Linked DNA regions of Macaca fascicularis. The protein of the gene in region 2 purifies or fractionates together with the protein of the main gene of each other region. This does not show direct contact. Links are inferred from orthologs where the notes say so. Each region holds a gene or a part of one and is shown on either strand. Other genes may lie near its edges.

Region 1 (4,508 bases), on a different chromosome or scaffold from region 2:
ACAACGGGGGCGCGGTGCCCACGGAGGAGCCCACGGAGGAGCCGGCAGCCCCGTTCCCGGTGGGTGTCCCTAAGCCAGGGCTCCAGGCCTCTGCACAAACCGTCTTTACACGGGGCTGGTGGGGCGGGGGCAGGGGTAGGCTGGGAGCAGAGCTCCGAGCTGTACTTGTGACCCGTTCTAGGAGCCACGGGCCAACTCAACCGTGGGGTCCAAGGAGGAGCTGTAGCTACCCCCGTGTCACTCCCCTCCTCACCGCTGGACAGGAGGGCACCTCCTTGGGTGCTGGAGGGAGCTGTGCATTGTGAATAAAGAGCTTGGTTCTGGACTGTGTGTGCCTGATCCCTCAGCAAGGCTGGCCTGATGCAGCTCTGCCCAGACGCGGGCTCCTGGGAAGGAAGGTGGAGCACGTTCATGCTCTAGCTTGGCCAGCCTCTGAGTCACAGGACGACCCCCATGCCTGCTGGAGGCCAGCATGACCTTAACCACAGGGGCTGAGGCTGGGAGACCCAGGCCAGGCCCCACTGGCAGCAGACACACCACAGCCAGGGCAGGTTCAAAAACAGTTTTATTTATTATCCAAGTACCTTTGAAAAGATAATTGTACAAGTGTCATCGCATGAAAAACAGACCTGGGCAGCCCCTGCTGGCCCTGGCCTGAGAAATGTACATATTTACATGGGCCCTCAGAAAGGAGGACCCGGGACCGCGCAGCCGGCAGCTGGAGGCAGGTGCAGTACCCCGTCGCCGGCTCACACAGTGGCAGGCAAGAGACAAGCTGTGTTGAAGGCACTCGGTGGCGAGTACAATTGACAGAGGCCCTGCAGGCCTCTGCGCCCAGGCCTGGGGCTGCGCCCAGCCAGACCAGGGTACGTGGGCAAATCCCAGAGGGAAAAACAGATCCCAGCACACGTGCCCAGGGGAGGCGCCGGGGCGTCGCTTGAAGCCGGCAGCAGGGACCCTGGCTGCCCCACTTGGGCTAGGCCCTCCAAGTATTGCTATGGGGAGTGTCCGGCTGCCTCCTCGGGGGCAGGACAGAAGCCTGTGGACCACGCGGAGGGACCCCTACCCACCCAGACACGGTCAGACTGCAGGGGTGGGCGGCGCCCCCACGCTGTTCTCTATCGGGCTCCTGAGTACGAGGTCATCCGCCTGGCTGTGACACCTGTGCCCACCGAGGGCCTCGCCTGGTGCAGCGGTCAGCCCGCCAGCTGGTCAGTCCACCTTCTCCACTTTGCCAATTATCTTCTCCTCAAAGACGGGCAGGACGGCCTCATCCTCTCGAACCTCCTCGAACACCACCCCACAGTCAAACTCGTCGCTCACTTTCTTGAAGTAGTATCTGCAGGATGGAGGTGAGGAGCACAGTGAGCAGGCAGTGCCGCAGATGGGAGGAGGCCTGTGGCGGGGACGGCGTGTCCACACCCCCATCCCCAGGAGCCTCCTGTCCATGCCCCACCGCCCCCACCACTCCCACCACGTGCGCCCCTCCCAGGGCAACAGTGAACAGTGCAATGACCGCATGTGGGTGAAGTGGCAGCTACAGGGGGTGAGTTTACTGCCTGCTGGGAGGCACCCTACAGCCCCCTAGGAGTACCTGCCCCAGCCTCTCAGGAGGTGCAGGGGGGAAGTGGATGGGTGTGGGGTATCTGCTTCCCAAGGGCTGAGCCCTGTCATGGAAGTGACCCCGACTGGGGCCCTCCCTCAGCACCACATCTGCAGACACAGTCCACGGGTGTCTGCAGTCGCTTGTGGACAGAGGGAACCACCTCTGCCAGGCTCTTGTGGTCAGGCCCCCTCTGCTCACCCCCCAGTGCTCACTCAGGAGCCTCCAAGACTGGCTGCAGGCAGGCCCTCAGGGCTGAGGGGCCCAGGCCCAATGAACGTTGGTAGGATGGGGCCTGGCTTTTCAGTTGGGCAAAAGGAGCTGAATCCAGAGCCTAGAGACAAGGCTGGCCCAGGGGAGCCCGACACAAGGTTCAGACCATTGTTGTCTGGGCCTCTGGCTGTTTTCTCACCCCGAAGCTGAGGGCCCTGGAAGGAGTCCCTTAGGGACCCTCTCAGTCCTGTGGGGCCGAAGGCCTGAGGCCATCCTCAGCCCAGGGCTTGGAGAACTGGCGTAGGTGCAGATGAGGGACAGGAGCTGAAACAGCCGGAAAGCCTTTTTTTTTTTTTTTTTGGATAGAGACGGAGTCTCGCTCTGTCATCCAGGCTGGAGTTCTGGGGAGCAGTGGTGCGATCTCGGCTCACTGCAACCTCCGTCTCCTGAGTTCAAGCAATTCTGCCTCAGCCTCCCAAGTAAATGGGATTACAGGCACCCGCCACCACGCCTGGCTAATTTCTTTTGTATTTTTAGTAGAGAGAGGATTTCACCATGTTACCCAGGCTGGTCTCGATCTCCTGAGCTCAGGCAATCTGCCGGTCTCTGCCTCCCAAAATGCCAGGATTACAGAAGTGAGGCACCATGCCTGGCTAGAAACCCTCTTTTTCGTACTGCTGGGCACCCACGCACCCCTGCAGGGAGTGGGCACCCCAGCCCTCACACTCACCTGTAGCTGCCCTTTTTGGTCAGCAGCTCCTTGAACTGGCCCAGGGTGACAGCGCGGCCCCTCACCAGGGTGCGGTAGGGGATAGGCTCCCCACAGAAGTAGTATGCCACAACGATGCTGTCACACGGCTGGGCACTCCCGCCGCCCGCCTTCCTCTGCGATCTCGTCCTGGGGAAAGAGATGCAGCAGTGGTCCCTGGTTTTGGACTGAGGTCCCACAGGGTGCCTCCTGCTGGCCTCAGGCTGCCAGCAAAGGGTGGGGCAGGCCTGCAAACACCTGGGGCCCCAGGCCCCACTGCCCCCCCGCCGCAGCATCTCAATCTGGGGTCTACTCCACCAGCAGTGGAGTCTGACTCCACTCACTGGCAGCACAAAGGTCTCCCCGCTGCCTCACAGCCCCACCCTCGACTGGACAGGGCCTGGCCACTGGGCGCACTGCAGCTCTCACCTCTAGGATGGCAGGGCAGGCTGCATGGCTCCTATGCCAGGAAGACCTACGGCCCCCAAACCTTAAAAACATCTCAAGGGCAGGGATTGGACAAACAGAACTATGCACGATTTCTGGATGAGCCTGACCCCACAGTGAAGTCTGTCCCAGGACTGTTGCGGGTGCGGCCAGCAGGCCCTTCAGAGGGGGTGGGGCTGGCACCGTCTCCTGCCCAGGCTGAGCTGGGCCCTCCTCTTACAGGGGCTGTGCTTCCACTCACACCCTCTGCTTGGCTCCCCTGCCACCACCTGTCCCTCAGATGACTCCAGAAGCTGCCCCTGGCCCACTGGGGTTCAGGCCTCGGGCCTCCTGCTGGCTGCGTGCACTAGAGGCTGCCAGAGTCGACATCATGGCAGGAAGGCCTCACGGCCACCTCAGCCAGGTGACCGTCCACTTCGCACACCAGGGCCCCCACCCACCTGCATTCTTGGACTTTCTCCCAGAGCCACATCCTTGCAGCCCCCTGGAGCCAGGCCCATAGGAGAATGAGCCAACATGTGGGGGCTGCCCCAAGGACGGGTGAAGGCCCCTCCAAGACCCCCTAGAGGATGACAGCCACAACAAACCTGCATCTGGGGCAAGCCTGGTAAGGCCTGGGGGACCCCTGTTCTCAAGGCCCCTTTTGGGATATGCCCCTCCTGCCACCTTGAGCACACAAAGGCGCCACTGACACAGCCCATGTGGGATCACGTGGTATGGACACAGTAAGCCTTTCTCACGGGCTCGGAGTGGTCAGCACTGCAGGTGGGAGCAGAGCCCTGACTCACGGACTGCACGGACTGGACAGACGCACATAGTTGAGACCCACACTGCAAGCTGACGCACCTCGCGCACCTCAACACCTGCAGCCCCGACCCTGCTCAAGCCAGGTCTGCGGGGACCAGCCAGTTCCAAGCCGGGTGGGGCCAGGGGCAGGGGTAGGTCTCTGCCCCACAAGGGGCCTCCCATGACACCTGTGTGGATACAGGGCTGGCTGTGCCCAGGCCTCCAGCCGGGCCTGTTGGTCACTTATCGTCATGCTGGACAGTCAGCATCTCCTCTGATGGAGACGGGAGAAGGCTCTTGGGCAGCTTGGAGTCTGATGCCGTGGGACCCTCTCCTGCCACAGCTGCTTCTCAGCGTGGTACCTGAGCTCAGGCCCCAGGACGGCAGCTCTACCATGGGACCTGGCTTGAGACGCCTGGGCTGGGTGGGCAGGACCAGGAGGACCCTCAGGACGCACGTACTCTGTCTCGGAGAGCTCCATGTCCGACACGGCTGGTACCACGCGCAGCACTGGCGCGCACGCTGGCCTGACGCAGGCGCGTCCCCGCCGCATAACCTCCTGCACATACCTAGGGAACAACCCGCGTCAATGGTGGCTGCGCCGGCGGCCACCAGCCCTGGGGAAGGAGCCTCGACCAATGCTGCCGCGCAGGGACAGACGGAGCATGAAGGGGCTGTACAACCTGCCCCGTGAAGGCTCCAGTTTGCAGG
Region 2 (4,526 bases):
GCCAAGGATAGAGAAGCTAGCTTTCAGACATTCCCACTGGGCAAATCTGCAACTTGAGCAAATATATGATACATGAAAATAAATGGGAGAAGGGAAAGCTCTTCTTTGCAGCAAAATGCTGCAAAGAAGTGAAGGAACTAGATCACCATCTGGCAACCATCAGAGTAATATATTCAGGCAAAAAAGCTTAAGAGCAGAGAGTTAAAACTGGGCAAGAAACGTGATATTTATGTAGTCTCAAATATCGCCCCTAAATACTTTCAATTATAAAGGTGGATTTTAATTATAAAAGGAAAGAGTAACTATACAGTGTTACTATCAGTTATCACCAGTGACGGGGCAAACGACCTGTCTGCATCCTGACATGACACACCGAGAGGAGCACAGCATCACCTGTGATGTTCCTGCCAAAAGTGTGTACTCTGAATCTAATTAAGAAGCAGCACCAGACAAACTCAATTTGAGGGGCTTCTATAAAATAATAATCTGAAATCTTTAAAAAATTAAGGCCATTAAGGTCAAGGAAGAACTAAGAATGGCCCTGGATTCAATGAGACTGAAGAAACATGACAACTGAGAGCAACTTGTGATCCTGGTTTGGATCCTCTTGCTATAAAGGACATAAATGGGCAGCTGGCGAAACCTGACTAGGGTCTTTGGGTGAAGGGTATACAGAAGTTCTCTGTGGTATTCTTGCAACTTTTATATAAGTATGAAATTATTTCAAAATAAATAAAAGTAACAACATTTGTTCAAAAACTTTTATTTACTATAAAGACAAAAACACCAAAATAGGTACAAATACTATAAAATCGGTTCAATGGGGTAAAAATTTTAATTAAAATATCTCAATATATTTAAAATAACAAAGGATACATTTAAGCCAAATTTTCTTAACCCAGAGATTTTTTTTTTTTTTTTTTGTAACATTTGCTTACACAGTAAGGTGCTAATAGAAGTTAGCCCTTAAGCCCTGGAAATCTTAGGAATCATAGTCACACAGCAAATATAATTTCATTGTGAAAGTGAACTTTGGTAGAAGAAAAATCTATAGGACACCTGAGGTAGTAGAAACTGGAATAAACAGTAGTAGACGTTATTTACAACTTGAGTACCAAATAACATTAAGAACACAAAAATAATTACACGATACAATTTCCAGTCCAGCTTTGATCCAAAGAAAATAAGAATATTACATCACATTTGCATTGAAAACAAAACAAAAAACAAAATGCCACAATTACCAGCAAGCTGAGGGAACTGCAAACAAACTCAAACACAATGGATTTTGAAATCTACAGATAGTTTGAGTTTGAAATGTGGTGGGCATGGTGATCTACAAAGTAATACTGATTAGCTGAGGTTCCTCAGTTTATACAGTTTACATTTTTGTCAGACACAGTATTCATCTGACCAATGATCTTCCAGTACATAAAATGGCAAGAGTGCATCCTTTAAAGCTTGCACATGAGAGACTTGGAAACAATCTTATTAGAATTGTGGAAATTCTAAGTAGTCAAAAAATAAAAAATAAAAAAAAAAAACACAAAATAAAACAGAAAGTCAAGTACAACACATTTAGAGCTACCAAACTTCACATTTCTGTACTATTTTTAACTCTTCAAATATCGCCAATCTTCCAAAACAAAGGAATGTAAAATTTCACTAAGAAACATATTCACATAAAAAACAAACTGCCTTTTAAAAATTATAAGCAATATATCCCTGTAAACTTATCTTGTAACTTATTGTATTTCCAATTTGTGTTGTACATTTTAAATGTACTCTATATAGCTTATTTAGTTTATCCTGAGTCTTTGAGAATAACCAATTCTATTTCACACTGGCTTCTGAAGAGTTAAAACTAAAATCTCAAAAGTTGTATTTAATAGTTAATCAGTATTTGATTTAAAAGACTCACACACACACAAAAAGATTAAAAAGCTACCATTTTCCTTCAGGATTCCATGCATCTGAATTTAACTCCAGACTAAAACCATTAGGTAACTGTGCAAAATCCAAGGAATTAGTGTATAAATGAAATTCAATTCCACTTTTCTTTCTGAACACATTTTCCAAGTTCAAAGCAAATGTATTCTTAAAAAACATTACTGATTGGTAGTTGAATAATCTTTTTTAAAAATGATCTGCCAGGCCTACTGTAAAGAGATGATGCATGGTAAAAGGAAAATGGCAGTCATATGTTATTACCAGTAGTGAAGGTGAATGATGGATTGTTACATACAGAATAAGACTTAAATGTTGTGAAGTTTCCTACAGTTTGACAACCAAAACATCTTAAAAAATTCAAATAAATTTTAAGGTAATCTTGATCTTCGTTGTGAGTTGCATCACAGAGGACAGTTAATTTTTAGTTTATATTTAACCTGCACAATAAAAGTGGTGACTGACTCAAATGTAGGTAGTACTTTATTGTATTCCAATATAAAAAACAAAATTAAGTCTGTATTTTAAAAACTTTTACAATAGCAAGATATTTAATGAACTCTTGTTCATACCTAGTTTTTTTTTTTTTTTTTTTTTTTCTGGTTTGAAAAAAAAGATCACCTTTCCCTGAATAAACAAAAATGAATGTAAATAAAAATGAAAATACAAAACCATAATTTCCAAAAACGAAATGAATGGGCCAACAGTAAAATGCACAATGAGCCACAATTGCCCAGGTGTTTAAGAAAATAAAGGCCAACTGTGGGTCATAAAGAAGTATCAACTTTTAAAAATATATGTATGTAATGCTACTCATAGCATATTCTGACCTAAAAGAGGCAGATACTGATTTTATAGCCAGTGACAAAAAATCTGAACGGAATTGTAGAACCCCCGCTTGTGATCACTATATGAAATGGAAGAATAATTCAAATATTAAAATAGATTCTGAGCCCCTCAGCCGCTAATATTGCTGAAAAAGTGCCCCAAAAAAATAAAATTATGCTTCTGCAATTTAGTCATGCAAACTTCACTGTCTTCCTGTTCACCTAGGCCAGTTCTTTGAAAGGCACGGTTTACAATTTCTGCACTAGTTGTGGGCTTTTGCATACTGAGCTTAGGTAAAGATCATGATTTGTCAATCACATACTTAGGTAAGGGTTCCCCACTGGCCTCGTTCATAGCTGTTCAGTGGCATCATGGCCAGTAGAATATCAATGTGGTTCCCCAAAAGTTTTTTTCTCTTGTTGAGCATCCTGTTTCTATTGTAGTTGATCTGCATAACTGGCTACCACGTAGTACGAAAGACTGGATGCTTTAGTAGCTCTCTTGATGGAGGCCTGTCCTGAGGTTGAAGTTCTAAACAACGAAGAGCCACATCTCGTAAGCCGGGAGACAAATGTGAAGGGATCGATGGAGCAGTCGTTGCACTAGCAATCTGTGGAGAAAAAGCCAGAGTGTTGAAGCTTTGCACGACTGGAACTTCTGATACACAAGCACATGTGCATCGACCTCATAACCCTTACATTTACATCCTGAACAGAGAGAAATGAAGCAGAAGTGGGAGGATTTTCTGTTATCAAAAAGTCTATAAAGATTCATCCACCGGATGGGAGGTTTTCTCTAACAGTCTTTCAACTTTTAGGATTTTAGGATTTGATCAAATATATCCTATTCCTTATTATTTAAATCAACAAGGCTAAGTACATCAAAATGTTCAGGTGAAGTATTCACTCAAATGGATTCTGCTGTCCTCATAGTCTCCAAGATGGTTTGTTCTCACTGCACGTTTTCTATTTCTTCAGCAGAGAGAGCTATTTAGATTAAGAAAGACTAAAACTGAAGAGTCAATTTAATACATAGAAAACACAACTGCATTGTTTTTTTCCTTCCATGTTGGACAAATTCTGATTCTTAGTATCAAATACACTATGAAGAATGATTTTATAAAAAAGTTTTCAGTCTGACTACTTTAAACTCACCTACCCACTCCTAATCACAAGAAAACTCTTTCTTTTCTCTATCCCAGTAATTTCATAAATGCTTTGGGTTAAAAAAATGCAAAATAATATAAAGAAAATTCCTCTAAGGTCTGTGATCCTGTATCACAATATACTCAGCTGATATATACACATCTTACACACCACAAAAAGGAAAAATACAAAACAAAAAATTAAAGTCCCTCTTCCTTCTCCCCAAATGTAACTTACTGTTGACGATTTGTGTGTGTGTGTGTGTTTGTGGAGAAAAAAGGCCAATACATTCACAGACTTAAGATTTTCTAAAATGTCTACAAAAGAGAAAACTTAATTTAGAGACAGGGTCTCTCTCTCACTCTGCCACCCAGGCTGAAGTGCAGTGGTTTGAACACGGCTCACTGCAGCTTTGACCTCCTGGGCCCAAGCGATCCTCCCACCTCAGCCTCCTGAGTACCTGGGAGCACAGGTGGTGCCACTATGCCCAGCTAATTTTTTTTTTTTAATAGAGATGGGGTCTCACTATGCTCAATCTGCTCTCCAACTCCTGGGTTCAAGCTCTGTTCCCACCTCAGCCTCCCGAAATGCTGAGATTACAGGCAT

The links.
Region 1: the proteins of MAP3K1 (region 2) and AXIN1 purify together in Homo sapiens (affinity purification with western blotting; 5 studies listed by BioGRID and IntAct, with this or other methods). This does not show direct contact. The link is inferred for Macaca fascicularis from reciprocal best matches to the Homo sapiens genes MAP3K1 and AXIN1.

Annotation. Positions count from the first base shown.
Region 1 is NC_088394.1:1,039,947-1,044,454, forward strand, and holds the end of AXIN1 (axin-1), read right to left. Parts: intron 4,367-4,508; coding exon 4,259-4,366; intron 2,715-4,258; coding exon 2,547-2,714; intron 1,340-2,546; coding exon 1,213-1,339; 3' UTR 548-1,212; downstream 1-547. Other genes in the region: PDIA2 (protein disulfide-isomerase A2), read left to right, coding at 1-59, 182-226. UniProt on the Homo sapiens protein: Component of the beta-catenin destruction complex required for regulating CTNNB1 levels through phosphorylation and ubiquitination, and modulating Wnt-signaling.
Region 2 is NC_088380.1:62,329,131-62,333,656, reverse strand, and holds the end of MAP3K1 (mitogen-activated protein kinase kinase kinase 1), read right to left. Parts: intron 3,386-4,526; coding exon 3,236-3,385; 3' UTR 748-3,235; downstream 1-747. UniProt on the Homo sapiens protein: Component of a protein kinase signal transduction cascade. Activates the ERK and JNK kinase pathways by phosphorylation of MAP2K1 and MAP2K4. May phosphorylate the MAPK8/JNK1 kinase.